Linked DNA regions of Macaca mulatta. The protein of the gene in region 3 interacts with the protein of the main gene of each other region in a pairwise test. Links are inferred from orthologs where the notes say so. Each region holds a gene or a part of one and is shown on either strand. Other genes may lie near its edges.

The links.
Region 1: the proteins of SH3GL1 (region 3) and SH2D4A interact in binary tests that used the Homo sapiens proteins (3 or more experiments, as listed by UniProt). The two-hybrid records come from large-scale screens. The link is inferred for Macaca mulatta from reciprocal best matches to the Homo sapiens genes SH3GL1 and SH2D4A.
Region 2: the proteins of SH3GL1 (region 3) and DPPA4 interact in binary tests that used the Homo sapiens proteins (3 or more experiments, as listed by UniProt). The link is inferred for Macaca mulatta from reciprocal best matches to the Homo sapiens genes SH3GL1 and DPPA4.

Annotation. Positions count from the first base shown.
Region 1 is NC_133413.1:20,954,308-20,958,375, reverse strand, and holds the start of SH2D4A (SH2 domain-containing protein 4A), read right to left. Parts: upstream 2,801-4,068; 5' UTR 2,159-2,800; coding exon of another isoform or gene 2,113-2,158; intron 2,038-2,112; exon of another isoform or gene 1,857-2,037; intron 764-1,856; exon of another isoform or gene 662-763; intron 1-661. UniProt on the Homo sapiens protein: Inhibits estrogen-induced cell proliferation by competing with PLCG for binding to ESR1, blocking the effect of estrogen on PLCG and repressing estrogen-induced proliferation. May play a role in T-cell development and function.
Region 2 is NC_133407.1:174,302,065-174,306,067, reverse strand, and holds the start of DPPA4 (developmental pluripotency-associated protein 4), read right to left. Parts: upstream 2,801-4,003; 5' UTR 2,678-2,800; coding exon 2,654-2,677; intron 1-2,653. UniProt on the Homo sapiens protein: May be involved in the maintenance of active epigenetic status of target genes. May inhibit differentiation of embryonic cells into a primitive ectoderm lineage.
Region 3 is NC_133424.1:5,195,533-5,199,832, forward strand, and holds the start of SH3GL1 (endophilin-A2), read right to left. Parts: upstream 2,801-4,300; 5' UTR 2,413-2,800; coding exon 2,152-2,412; exon of another isoform or gene 1,475-2,151; coding exon 1,406-1,474; coding exon of another isoform or gene 1,361-1,405; exon of another isoform or gene 962-1,360; intron 740-961; coding exon 667-739; coding exon of another isoform or gene 618-666; intron 1-617. UniProt on the Homo sapiens protein: Implicated in endocytosis. May recruit other proteins to membranes with high curvature.

The sequences.
Region 1 (4,068 bases), on a different chromosome or scaffold from region 3:
GTTCAGTCTGTGACTCCTAATGAGTCGGTATGTGACATAATCTACTGTGAAGTGAAGGAGACTGGTGGAGCCACGGTAGAAGAAATAGAAATGAGGAAATTAACTAACCAGGGTTTTCCCACTTTCATTCCCTGACGAGAACAAATAATCATTGCTGATACGGATTCAAATGCTGAGGACTTTCCCATACTATATCAAGGGCAGCAAACCTCCAGTTATTCAAGATCCAACAAAGGAATAGCTCAGCTAACACAGCACCTTTCTTAAAAGAGAGAAATGATAAGAAGCAAGCCCACACCTGCAATTTATTCTGAACAGCAATTGCTAAAGGATCAGAGAATCTGTTGTTTTCCATGATACCATAGATTTGACCTGATTCTCACACCTTCACACTGTTCTACCATACAACTGTCTTTTGGATAACTCTGATACCTAAACAAAATAAAAAATTTTAAAGGCCTAAGATACAGCCTAAATCATAAAAATAGTAGGCCAGGCACAGTGGTTCAAAATGTAATCCCAACACTTTGGGAGGTGAATGTGGGTGGATTGCTTGAGCTCAGGAGTTCGAGACCAGCTTGGGTAACATGCCAAAACTCCATCTCTACACAAATATAAAAATTAGCCAGGTGTGGTGGCCCACACCTAGAGTCCGACCTACCTGGGAGGCTGAGGTGGGAGGATCACTTGAGCTGGAGAGTTTGAGGCTGCAGTGGGCCAAGATCGCACCACTGCACTACAGCCTGGGTGATAGAAGGAGACCCTGCCTCAAAAATGAAAAACATTAGGTCGGTGCAAAAGTTATTGTGTTTTTTTATGGCCTAAATAAATAAATAAATGTGGTTTTTGCCATAAAAAACACAACTACTTTTGCACTTACCCAATAAAATAAAAAATAAATAAAAGTATTGTGGTATGGACAGTGTAACTATAACATTAACAATACAGCTTGAATTCTAATTCTTTTAAAACAGCCAGCTCTGTGGTCGAGCTTTGTTTTCTTATTCAAACTTTATCTTATTCATCTACCAGCAAAAGAGCTGTTTTTGGAGATGAAACAAATTACCAGAGATGACAGCAATTTGGCAAGTTTTGTAAATATATACTATTCTTCAGAAATTTGAAGTTACTGTACACACAGATTTAGTATACATAGAAAATTCCACTCCTATGCCAAATCTATGCCCCTGTATGCTTTCCACTTATTTATTCACTATTTTAAAATAATGGTACCCAAGTCGTTGTTTCCATTAAACCAGCAATCAAATAAAAGCCTTTTGGGCGATGAGGAGCATCTGTTCGGAAGGGGGAGGTGCCACGCTTGCTGTTTCTCTAAGCTCCCTGGGAAGGGAAAGACAACTCAGAAAACCTACAAACTGTAGCTCCTTCCGGTGCCCGCGTAACCCCCGAGTCCAGGAGCGGGCAGGGGCGCCGCTTGGTTGAGCCCAGTGGGCACCCGGTCTGGGTCTGGGCCAGCCCCGCCGCAGCAGCCCCTGGGAGGCGGCGCTGCACGGGCCTCCGCGCGCGCCCTGACCCCACTTGGGGGCGCCCCTGGGTGCCGGCGCGCGGGGAACGCGCTGCCGGGGTGCTGCGCCGGCTGCCACTGTTTCCCGGGACTTCCCTCTTGGAAGATCTCCAGGCGCAGGTCCAGGACGTGCTCCTGCTAGGAGTCTAGAAACTCCAGTCCAGCCCGGACCCTCCCGGGGCCTGCACTCCCTGCGGGTAGAAGCACGCGCCGCGTGTCCCCGCCGGATCCCAGAACTTCCCCGAAAGTCCTCAGCTCCGGCAGACCCTCTCCCTCGAAGTTCCCCCCGCCACCCCTTGCAAGCCCCCAGACCCCGGGGACAGCCGCTCACCTAGCCAGCGGCTCCAGTCACCGGACACCGGACACCGGACACCGGATACCCGCCGCAGCCGCTCTAGCCGCCTAACCCCGCACCTGAGCCCGCCCCGGGCGGCGCGAAGGGGTGGAGGCGGGGGTGAGGCTTCCGCCCGCCCCCTCTGGCCCCTGCGCCTCCCATGCACCCCTGCAACCCCCGAGGAAATTCCCTTCCCCCTACTCCCACCCCATGCACACTCTCGCCAAAGCCTCTCCCCAACCCCAGCACCTACCAGTGCTGGGCGCCCCTGGGCAGGGTGGCCCGATCACCCGCCACATCCACTTGGCCGCCAGAAGCCGTCGGGGAAGGGAGGGAGGGAAAGGCAGAAGCGTCCCAAGCGGCGCAGGCGGGCTGAGCAAATACTCTGACCGGGACGCCAAACAGCTCCTGCAGCCGGCCCGCCCGCGCCGCCCCGCCGCGCCCACATGCCGGGTGACTAGCGGGGCGCGATCGCGGCCCCACCCGGGCGCCTGGAGGCTCTCCAGGGACAGTCGTCGGCCAGGCTGCGTGGCCTGCGCATCTCGGGCCGCCTGGTCTGCGCGCTGTCCCCGAGCTGCGGTAGTCCGGGGTAGCCTTGCTCCTCTCCTCTCTTAGTTCGTGGGACTGGGATCTGCAGTCTATGATCTCTTGGGGACTGCAGGACTTAGATTAAATCAGCAGGTCTGGGCCTTTCCATGTTTCAGAGCTCGGGGTTCCATGCGAGGTGGAGGGTAGGAGGGTGCGCGGGCCCCACTTGTTCACTCGGCTTGGGTGCCGCAGGCCAAGGCGACTCTAGAGCTTTTTTTTTCTTTCTTTTGTTGACATTAAGTAAATGATCAAACTCTTTGGCACTTGTCGGTACAGGTGTGGCTTTGTAGGACAAGATGAAGGACGGAAAAGGCTGAGAAGGAGACCGCAGTCAACACAGACCAGGAGAAAATGAAAGAAAACTGGGGAAAAAGTTAAGATGCTGAAAGGAGTCTTGTGGATTGCAACAAGAACAGGTTGGGTTGGGGCCTGAAGACATCAGGGAGGAGCTGGCAGTCCACAGTTAGAGGAAATCTTGGAGGAAAATTCAGCAGAAGCAGAGTGGAAAGGCATTTCCACTGGAGGGCATTTTCCATCCTAGAGGAGTATGTGGAAGAAAACCGCCTGCTTTGGTGAACCCCAGATTTTATGTGTTGGGAGAGATGTAATAAATAGCAAACACCAGTAGTCCTCTCCACAGACTACCTGACCTCTTCAGGAGCCTGACCTGCTGGGTTCAAACATAAAACGTCATTCCCCGCCTTTACAAACGGCAGAAGCTATGCAGTCACATCAAGCCTCGGGGCAGGCGGCATTGTCAGGAAACAAGACCCAGCTATTTAGGAACCATTCCAGGGATCCCATCAGGGAGAAATTTCTGGTCTAAGGCTTAGTTCCTACTGCAGTTTAAATGATAGCCTATGGGGTGCTTTAGGCTGGAGTGGGATTGGCCCCTGGAAAGCTACTATGGCGAGGTCGAAATGAATCCTAGCCCTGCATGGATGGATCGGTTAACTATACAGGGTGGTTTATCTGGAAAAATCCCATAGGACACTGTGACAGCCACTTACCTTTCTCATACCCAGTCTCTCTCCAGGTCCTGACAAGTCCTTCCTTATAATAGCTCTGTCACTGTGCTACTAACCTCTGTACCTCAATTTCTTCTCTGGATAGAGTGTCTGCCTCCGTAAGTTGTTAAGAGGGTTAAATGAGATACCGCATGCAAAGGGATTAGAACAGCTCTTGGCATGTGGTGAGTGTTCAAACACATTTGCTCAGATCAGTTCATATCACATTAAGGTACTATAATTCCAGGTTCCTGCTATCTCACCCTAGGCTATGGTTCTGCCCACCATGCCACTTACATTCCAAGTCATTCCCAGGGATCCCGTCTTCCTGTTATTCATACCCTTGCATAGCTCCCCGCCACTTTGTAAAGGTTGGTTTGCTTGACCAATAGAACCCGGCAGAAGTGATGATGGTATGCCACTTAGGAGATTAGGTAAGGAAACATCTTGGAGCTTCTATCTTGAAAGAATGTTAACAGCCCAAAGGAACACACACTGTACACAAATAGCACAATCAGCTCAGAACCCAGACTCTTCCCTTTTCTCTCTGCCCCTTTCCATCCTTCTTGTCTCATGCCTCTTTCCTGTATTTGGCATGATCTCTTCTTCTCTTA
Region 2 (4,003 bases), on a different chromosome or scaffold from region 3:
AAATTATTTTCTAACACTGTTGGCAGAGTGACACATCCTTTCAGTGGTTTATTGCTCTCAGCATAAAAATAATTGTCTTTAACATTACCTACCAGACTCTTACCTTCTATTTCACACTGCTCTCCCTACCCAAGCTCCAGCCGCGTAATTCCTTTCCTTTCCTTTCCAAAGTTGTTACACATTCCTCAGCCCCAACCTCCACCCTACTTCTATTTACACTTCAAAATCTTATACCTTAAAAATCTTCCTCTTTTAAGTGTTATTTAACCTGGGAACCCCTTCTAGTCCTTTCAGACAAATCTACTACATACTGTCTCATTTCTACTACTTGTTAATTGCAATTAAATTTGTTTGTGTGATTTGATTAATGATTGACACTCCTCTTGACTATAAGCTCCATGAGGATAGCATTTCTTTCCTTTTCATCATAGGCACTCATAAATATTGGTTAATTGAATCAAAGGAAGCAAAGTGGGAGTGGAGAAAAGTTGTTTAATCCAGAGACAGTAAGATATATTGATCCCCTGTCTCATACCAGGCATTCGCTTTGATATGTTCCTTATTTTCATTCTTTTTTAAAAAATATTTATTTATTAGCCGGGCGCGGTGGCTCAAGCTTGTAATCCCAGCACTTTGGGAGGCCGAGACGGGCGGATCACGAGGTCAGGAGATCGAGACCATCCTGGCTAACACGGTGAAACCCCGTCTCTACTTAAAAAAATACAAAAAAACTAGCCGGGCGAGGTGGCGGACGCCTGTAGTCCCAGCTACTCGAGAGGCTGAGGCAGGAGAATGGCGTGAACCCGGGAGGCGGAGCTTTCAGTGAGCTGAGATCCAGCCACTGCACTCCAGCCTGGGCGACAGAGCGAGACTCCGTATCAAAAAAAATAAATCATTTATTAAAGAAAAGGGCTTGCTCTTTCACCCAGGCTGGAATGCAGTGGCAGGACGGTAACTCACTCCAATCTCTACCTCCTCAAGTGATCCTTTGCCTCAGTCTCCTGAGTAGCTGGGACTACAGGTACCACCACGCCTGGCTAATGTTTCGTAGAGATGAGGTGTTGGGATTAAAGGCGTGAGCCACAGCGCCCAAGGGCTCCCTATATTCTTTTTATTTGAGAGGAGTCTCGCTCTGTCGTCCAGGCTGGAGCGCAGTGGCACAATCTCAGCTCACTGCAACCTCCACCTCCCGGGTTCAAGCAGTTCTCTGCCTCAGCCTCCCGACTAGCTGGAATTACTGGCGCTCGCCATGACGCCCAGCTGGTTTTCGTGGTTTCACCATGCTGGCCAGGCTGGTCTCAAACTCCTGGCCTCAAGTGATCCGCCCACCTCGGCCTCCCAAAGTGCTGGGATTACAGGCATGTGCCACTGTGCCTGGTCTTGGCCTTCCTTATTTTCATTCATTTAATTCTCATAGCAATCTGGCAACAATTTACTTCTCAGACACAGAAGCTGAGGATCAGAGGTAACATAAAGACACACAGATTAAGAGTACGTTAGATATAAATTAAAATTTAAATATCAAGGCTGGGCTCCGTGGCTCAAACCTGTAATCCCAGCACTTTGGGGAGGCCGAGGTGGGCTAATGGAGGTCAGGAGTTCGAGACCAGCCTGGTCAACATATCGAAACTCAATCACTACCAAAAATACCAAAACTACCTGGGCGTGGTGGTGCGCGCCTGCAGTCCCAGGCTGAGTCAGGAGAATCGCTTGAACCGGGAGGCAGAGGCTGCAGTGAGCCGAGATCGGCTACTGCACTCCAGCCTGGGCGACAGAGTGAAACTCGATTCATTAAAAAAAATAATAATCTCAATTACTTCTTCCTACCACCCTTTTCTCCTGTTACCATTTCCCTCTAGCCCCGATATTCGGTTAATTCTTTCTGACAGGACAAAGCACCTCTTCAAAACAGAAAAACCGGCGGGCAGCAGCAGCGCGCGCCTGTGGTCCCAGCAGCACTTTGGAAGGCCGAGGTGGGAGGATCGCTTGAGCCTGGGAGGTCGAGGTTGCAGTGAGCAGTGATGGTGCCACTGCACTCCAGCCCGGGAGACAAAGTGAGAGACCCTGTTCCAAAACTAACCTGAAAGCCTGATTTTTTAACTTTTTCTTTTGGGATGGAGTTTCGCTCTTGTTGCCCAAGCTGGGGGTGCAATGGCGCCTTCTCGGCAAACCACAACCTCCGCCTCCCGGGTTCAAGCGATTCTCCTGCTTCAGCCTCCCGAGTAGCTGGGATTACAGGTGTGCGCCACCACACCCAGCTAATTTTGTATTTTTAGTAGAGACGGGGTTTCTCCATGGTGGTCAGGCTGGTCTCGAACTCCCGACCTCAGGTGATCCGTCCGCCTCGGCCGCCCAAAGTGCTGGGATTACAGGCGTGAGCCACCGCGCCCGGCCTCTTTCTTTCCCCCTATCTTTTGACACCCTCAACCTCCTCAACTAACCCTAGAAAACCTCATTTCTTGTCTCCTCACTCCAATATACCAGGCTGCAATCATGTTCTTGGGCTTTACTCTTAAAAAAAAAAAAAAAAAAGTCAAGAGGAGAAAATTCGAAGGCGCATTCTTTTCTCCTCAATAGAAAAATCAAGAGTGCCCAGGGAAGACAGAAACACGAAGACGAAGACAGAAAACAAATCCACTAAAACTGTACTGACCTCCTTGCCTTTTGCCTTCTCCATACTTGTAGAAGCGGAGCCTCGCAAATGCTTCCAAAATGGCCCCAGCCCTAAGATTGCTGTTTGCAAAGTCTCCTCCCACTTCCTGCCGCCCGAAGACCCTTTTTCTCCCCTCCTCACCTCTTATTTTCTTCTCCCCGTCTGTTCCCTCCCCCACAATTTGTAAATGCTAAAATTGCATTCTTTCTTATTCATGGGGTGACCTTTGTCTGGGTTGAATTACTAATACCATTCCTGGCCCTTTTCTGTGCACTTTAAATGTAATTATCCAAAGTATGGTTCCGGAGACTTTGGGAGATTCAGGACTCCTTCAGAACGATTCTACAGAGAGAGAAAAAAAAAATGTGGCCAGAGACTTGAGCAGGATGTGTGAAGGGATTTAATAATGGGACTTGTGTAAACAGTAGACTTCAGGGACCAGACTGGCGGCTTGAAGAAAGCTATTTTCTCGTACCAAATACATTCCATTTCCTAAGTTACTCACTCAACTAAAATTCCAGGTTTCTCTGTACTAATACCCAGCATCATTTCATCTGCCAACGAACTAATAATAGTAGCTCTTAAAGTCTATAGAATATTTGTTATTTATTTATTTTGTAGAGGGCAAGTTGGGTGTGGGTGGGGATCTCGCTATTTTGACCAGGCTGGTCTCGAACTCCTGCCCTCAAGTGATTCTCCAGCCTTGTCCTCCCAAAGTGTTGGGATTACAGGCGTGAGCCACCACTCCCAGCCCAAGTATTTTTTTATATCTCAAATTGAGGGTTTAAAACTCAGTCATTATTGTTCCCCATTTTATATATGACTAAAGTTTGGTATAAAATTTTATTGGTAACTTTTCCAATAGCACAGTAAGTGAACCCCTAACCTACTGACTCCCAAAGAAGTTCAAGTTTTTCTCCTTAAAATAATTTGAAAAATCCTTCCTCAGATCAATGTTCCCTGTCAGGTTGTCAAGAGATGTGAAGTGAAGGAAGCAGTGGCTGTGCGACTGAAACCCTCCCTTGTCAGGGTCCAAAGTCTCCTTCGTTCTTTGGTTTACTTTGTTGTATTTTTTTCGCTTGTCCTAAAATGATAAATAAGAGACCATCTTTAATCCAAATGGTGTTAGTAATCTGCTCACAGGCTAGAAATCCACGGACAGAGAAAGTAACTAAACGGAGCCTAGGAATGGAGAAGGAAGTGCAGGTTGTGGACTGGGCAACCCCCAAGGTGGCAAAGAGGAAACCAGGTGAGTTGAGGTCATCTGGGAGATATTAGGGCTTTGATTTAACAATTCTTTACTACAGCCTTTGATAACCACCAGTATGACTTACTAGTTAAGGTTTGTGT
Region 3 (4,300 bases):
AAGGAACTGGCAGCGGGTGGAGAGGTGACCAAGCTCCTCAGGGGGCAACACATCCTCCTTCCAAGGGCTGCTCCTCTTGGAATGTGGCTATACCTCTCATCTGGGGGGTCCCAGGGAGGAGGCACAGCAGTCATATGCAGTGGGGGGTGGTGAGGCCAAGGCTCCCAGGGTAGGTGAGGAGCCGTGTCCCTTCTGCTGCCTGCTCCTGGCAGGGCCTGAGTGGACGCTGCTGGGTGTGCGTCTACCCACTGTCCTTGGCCTCCTATGGAGCCAGTGTTTGGGTTTTCCTTGGGGAAAGGTCCGTCTCTCGGCCAGGGAGACCCATCCCAGGGGCACTGGGTGAGGGGGCGGCCAATACAAATAGGTCCCACAAGTGAGCTGAGGGAGAGGCTCCCTGCCAGGACTGCTGGCTGGAAGAGGGGTTTAAGGCTGGGACAGCCTCGAGGAATCAGTCGGCATGATAGTGAAGTCAACAGGGGGACTGAGCTGCTGGCTGAGGTGGAAAGGCAGCATGTGGCGCCAAGGATGGTCTCTGCACCCCTGAATCCAGCTGTGCCTGAAGCCTGCCACCCATGAGCCTGGTGGTTCTGTCATCCCCTACGTTCCCTCTGACTGACAGAGGCCAGAGGGCCTGGGGCAGGCCCTGGCAGTGGCTAGAGCACCCACCTGGGTTGGGCTGCAGGTACTCGATGGTCCTGGCCAGCACTTCTGTCACCGCCTTGCTGGTGACATCCACCTTCTGTGGAGAGAAGCAGCATATAAGATTCCACAGCCAGGCCGGGTGCGGTGGCTCAAGCCTGTAATCCCAGCACTTTGGGAGGCCGAGACGGGTGTATCACAAGGTCAGGAGATCGAGACCATCCTGGCTAACACGGTGAAACCCCGTCTCTACTAAAAAATACAAAAAACTAGCCAGGCGAGGTGGCGGGTGCCTGTAGTCCCAGCTACTCGGGAGGCTGAGGCAGGAGAATGGCATAAACCTGGGAGGTGGAGCTTGCAGTGAGCTGAGATCCGGCCACTGCACCCCAGCCTGGGCGACAGAGCAAGACTCCGTCTCAAAAAAAAAAAAAAAAAAAGACTCCACAGCCACTGGGGGCCCAAGGCACACAAGGCCCCCACTGCTGCACCACCTCCTGCCGTACGAGCCCATACCAGGACCCCCCAACCCCCTCTCCATGTCTTCAGCTCAGCCATGTCCCCACAGCTGCCTGCCCAGGGCAGGGGAGAGAGCTGGTGCCTGTCAAGTCCAGCTGACGAGGCCCCCACACCACCCCAGCTCTCCACGCCTGCAGGGCCCCAGGAGTCCAGACCCAGGCCCATCAGCGTTGGCCGCCTCCACTATGCCCTGCAGAGGTCAGGCCCCAGCAGCGCCGCCACCACACAGAGCATGCAGTTTATTCCTCACCTTCTCCATCTCTTTGAAGTCATCGTCCAGCTTGGTCCCCTCGGCCCCTCCGACCTTCTCACTGACCAGCTAGAGGGCAGAAGAGGTGAAACGCTGTGAGCCCAGGGGGAGGATAAAGAAGAGCACAGGAGGCCCTGGGTGGCCTTCCAGCCACATGGCATCCACAGCCAGAGGCAGTAGGCCAAGTGATCAGGACACATACCTCGGGCACTGCCGTGGGCACCCCAGGGCCACACACTGCCTGTGGAGCAGGACGGGCCTGCAGGACAGGGAGGGTGAGGGTGGGGGTAGCCTGCCCGCCTGTGTGTGTCCTGACTGCCACTCACATGCCCACTGGGGACCCCGCCACAGTAGGCCCCATCTCGGCCACGGTGGAGTCCAGAACCTCAGCCTGGGAACACATGGCTCAGAAGACACTGCTTCCAGAAGTGCCTACACAAACATCCCCACAGATAGCAATGTGGGGATTTGCCCCCATCCTTGAGTATTTGGGGTCTACTTAAAAAAAAAATCCTGCCAGCTCGGTGGGGAGAGGCAGCAGGAGCTGACAGGAGCAGAGGTGCAGGCGGCTGGGCAGGGAGGCCACCACTCTCCTGTGCTCTGGTGCCCGTGTCTCAGGATGGGACAGCCTGGCCCCTGCCCCATGTGGACACTGAGTTTCACAAGGCAGTCGACACAGGCCTGGCACACCTCAGTCCTCATGGCTCTCAGCTACAGTGAAAGCGATGACAATGACAGGCACTTACAGCATCTCTTTCCTCGTGTAGTGAGAAGGCAGAAGCAGGCACTGAACTCCCAAACCACTCCCTCTGACAGCGCCTGGGATGCGAAGAACAGCCCTGAAATGTCCCATGGAACATAGCAGGAGCCCCTGAACCCCAGCACCGCTGTTGGTGCACAGGCGCTGCTTTCTTCACCCCGGGCACTCCATGTGTGCCTGGCGCCAAGGGATGCCGAACAGAGCGAGAGGGATAGTGTGAGGCCCTTCCCAGCAGACAGCACTTCATGAAGAGCCGAGTGGCTGCCGGGTCCTGCCAGAAATGGAGGCTCCCAGAGGGAGGCTGCCTGAGGTCACACGCTTGGCCCTGCCCTCTGGGGGCAAGTCATCGGCAACTTTAACGTCCCGGGTCTGATCACTTGTGTGAAGATGTGCACACACAGCCTGGGCAGGAGAGGGAGGTGTTGTGTGCCGTGGGCTGGTGACTATTGACACGGGCCATGGCCTGTGCCCCTGGACCAGGCAACCATGGTGCTCTCCAGGTCCGGTTGGTGCTTGCCTGCCCTGAGCTGTCACAAGATGTCGCCAAGGGATGTCATGAGTGTCCCTGCGGTGCCACATTGCGTTGGCTGTGTGGGGCTGGGGGGTGTCCAGCAGGGCAGTCAGGAGTTCAGGACCTAAGAGCAGGAAGTGCGGGGGCGGGAGAAGCTTGAGCCTGGGGCTCTGCCCATGCCAGGCACCTGCTGTACCCTCCAGCCCATGCCTGGAGGTCACAGCCCAGGGCACCACGAGTGCAAATGCCCCCAACCCCAAGCTCTGCAAAAGGTAGCCTGCCCAGAGTACACTGCTGGTCTTGTGTCCTGGCATCCTGCCCAAAAAGACAGCCGCCCCTTTCCCAAGGAATTCCCGGCCCTCCTCCAAGGCTTGGCTCTGGAAGCCCCCACACCACGGGACTATCCTCACCCACGCATCGGGACCCTTTCTGTCCACCTGCCTTCATGTGCGCCGGGCATTCAGTGAACACACGACCTCCAGGCCCCACGCCTCTGACCCGTCCCTTCCCTGCCTGTGAGTTGGTGGTTCTCAACTCAGCCACACAACACCTTGGAAGCTTCTTAAAAACCCCCTCGTCACACCCACCGCGGGAGGGCTAGACTCTGGCACAGGTGAAAGGCAGGAAATGGCCCTTGCACGGCAGGAGAGTGGGGCTGCCCTCCATTTCTGCTGAAGGCAGGAGGAGGAAGGAGCCGCCCTCCCTAGGTGTTTTTGGGGCGTTCCACTCTATTTCCTGGGACAGTTTCACTTCTTGTGATTGTGGCGAGAGAGGGCGTGCTCAGAGCCAGCGGCTGCCGGAGAGGGAAATGAGTGGCTGATGTGAGACTGGACTCTTCTGGGAAGCCGGGAGGAGAACTGAAGCCAGCGGGCCGCGAAACCACATCTTCTGGGCTGAGGCCACCCCGGCCCCATGACCTGCCCAGGCAGGACCTGGTGTGCAGGCTGGCAGGAGCGGCTCCGTCAGGGCCCTTCCCCAGCCCCCTGCCTCACATAGGGCAGGAGGAGAGGCCCTGCCGGCGGGGACCACATCCTGCCTCTGAGGGGAGGGGCTGGGGACCCGCCATGGCACCAAAGACCCATCTGGTGGCCTCTGGCTCTGGCCCCGGCCCCGCCTGCCCATCTCACCTGGGAATCCAGGACCCTGCCTTCCTGAGCCCCAGAACGACTTCTTGAACCCCCACAACCACCTGACTCCTCACACCCCTGACACCCAGGAGGCTGTGTCCTAACTACCCAGGTCCCTCTGCTCAGCTCCAGCTAAGTCCCTTGTGGTGACTGATAGTCCCCCACGGGCCAGGCACTGGGCAGGGGACACGACCCTGTAAGGTCCCTTCTCTCCAAGGCTCACAAACTAGAAACCGGCACAGATGGACACAGGGATGAATGGCCACAAGGGAAACACGGGAAAAGCAAGGCAGCCAGGCCAAGTGCAGCGCCAGCTGCAAGCGCGGAAACCAAGCGTGGGCTCCTGCCCGTCAGAGCCCTACTCACTGCGGCCTCAGCACCAGCACTGCTGAGCACGGAGGGGACCGAGAGTCTGTGGCAGAGCTGGGCGCCACAGGGAGGCTCAGCAGAGAGCGCCTCTGGGCTCGCTGTCTGGAGTGGGCGTTCCTAACCCTGGT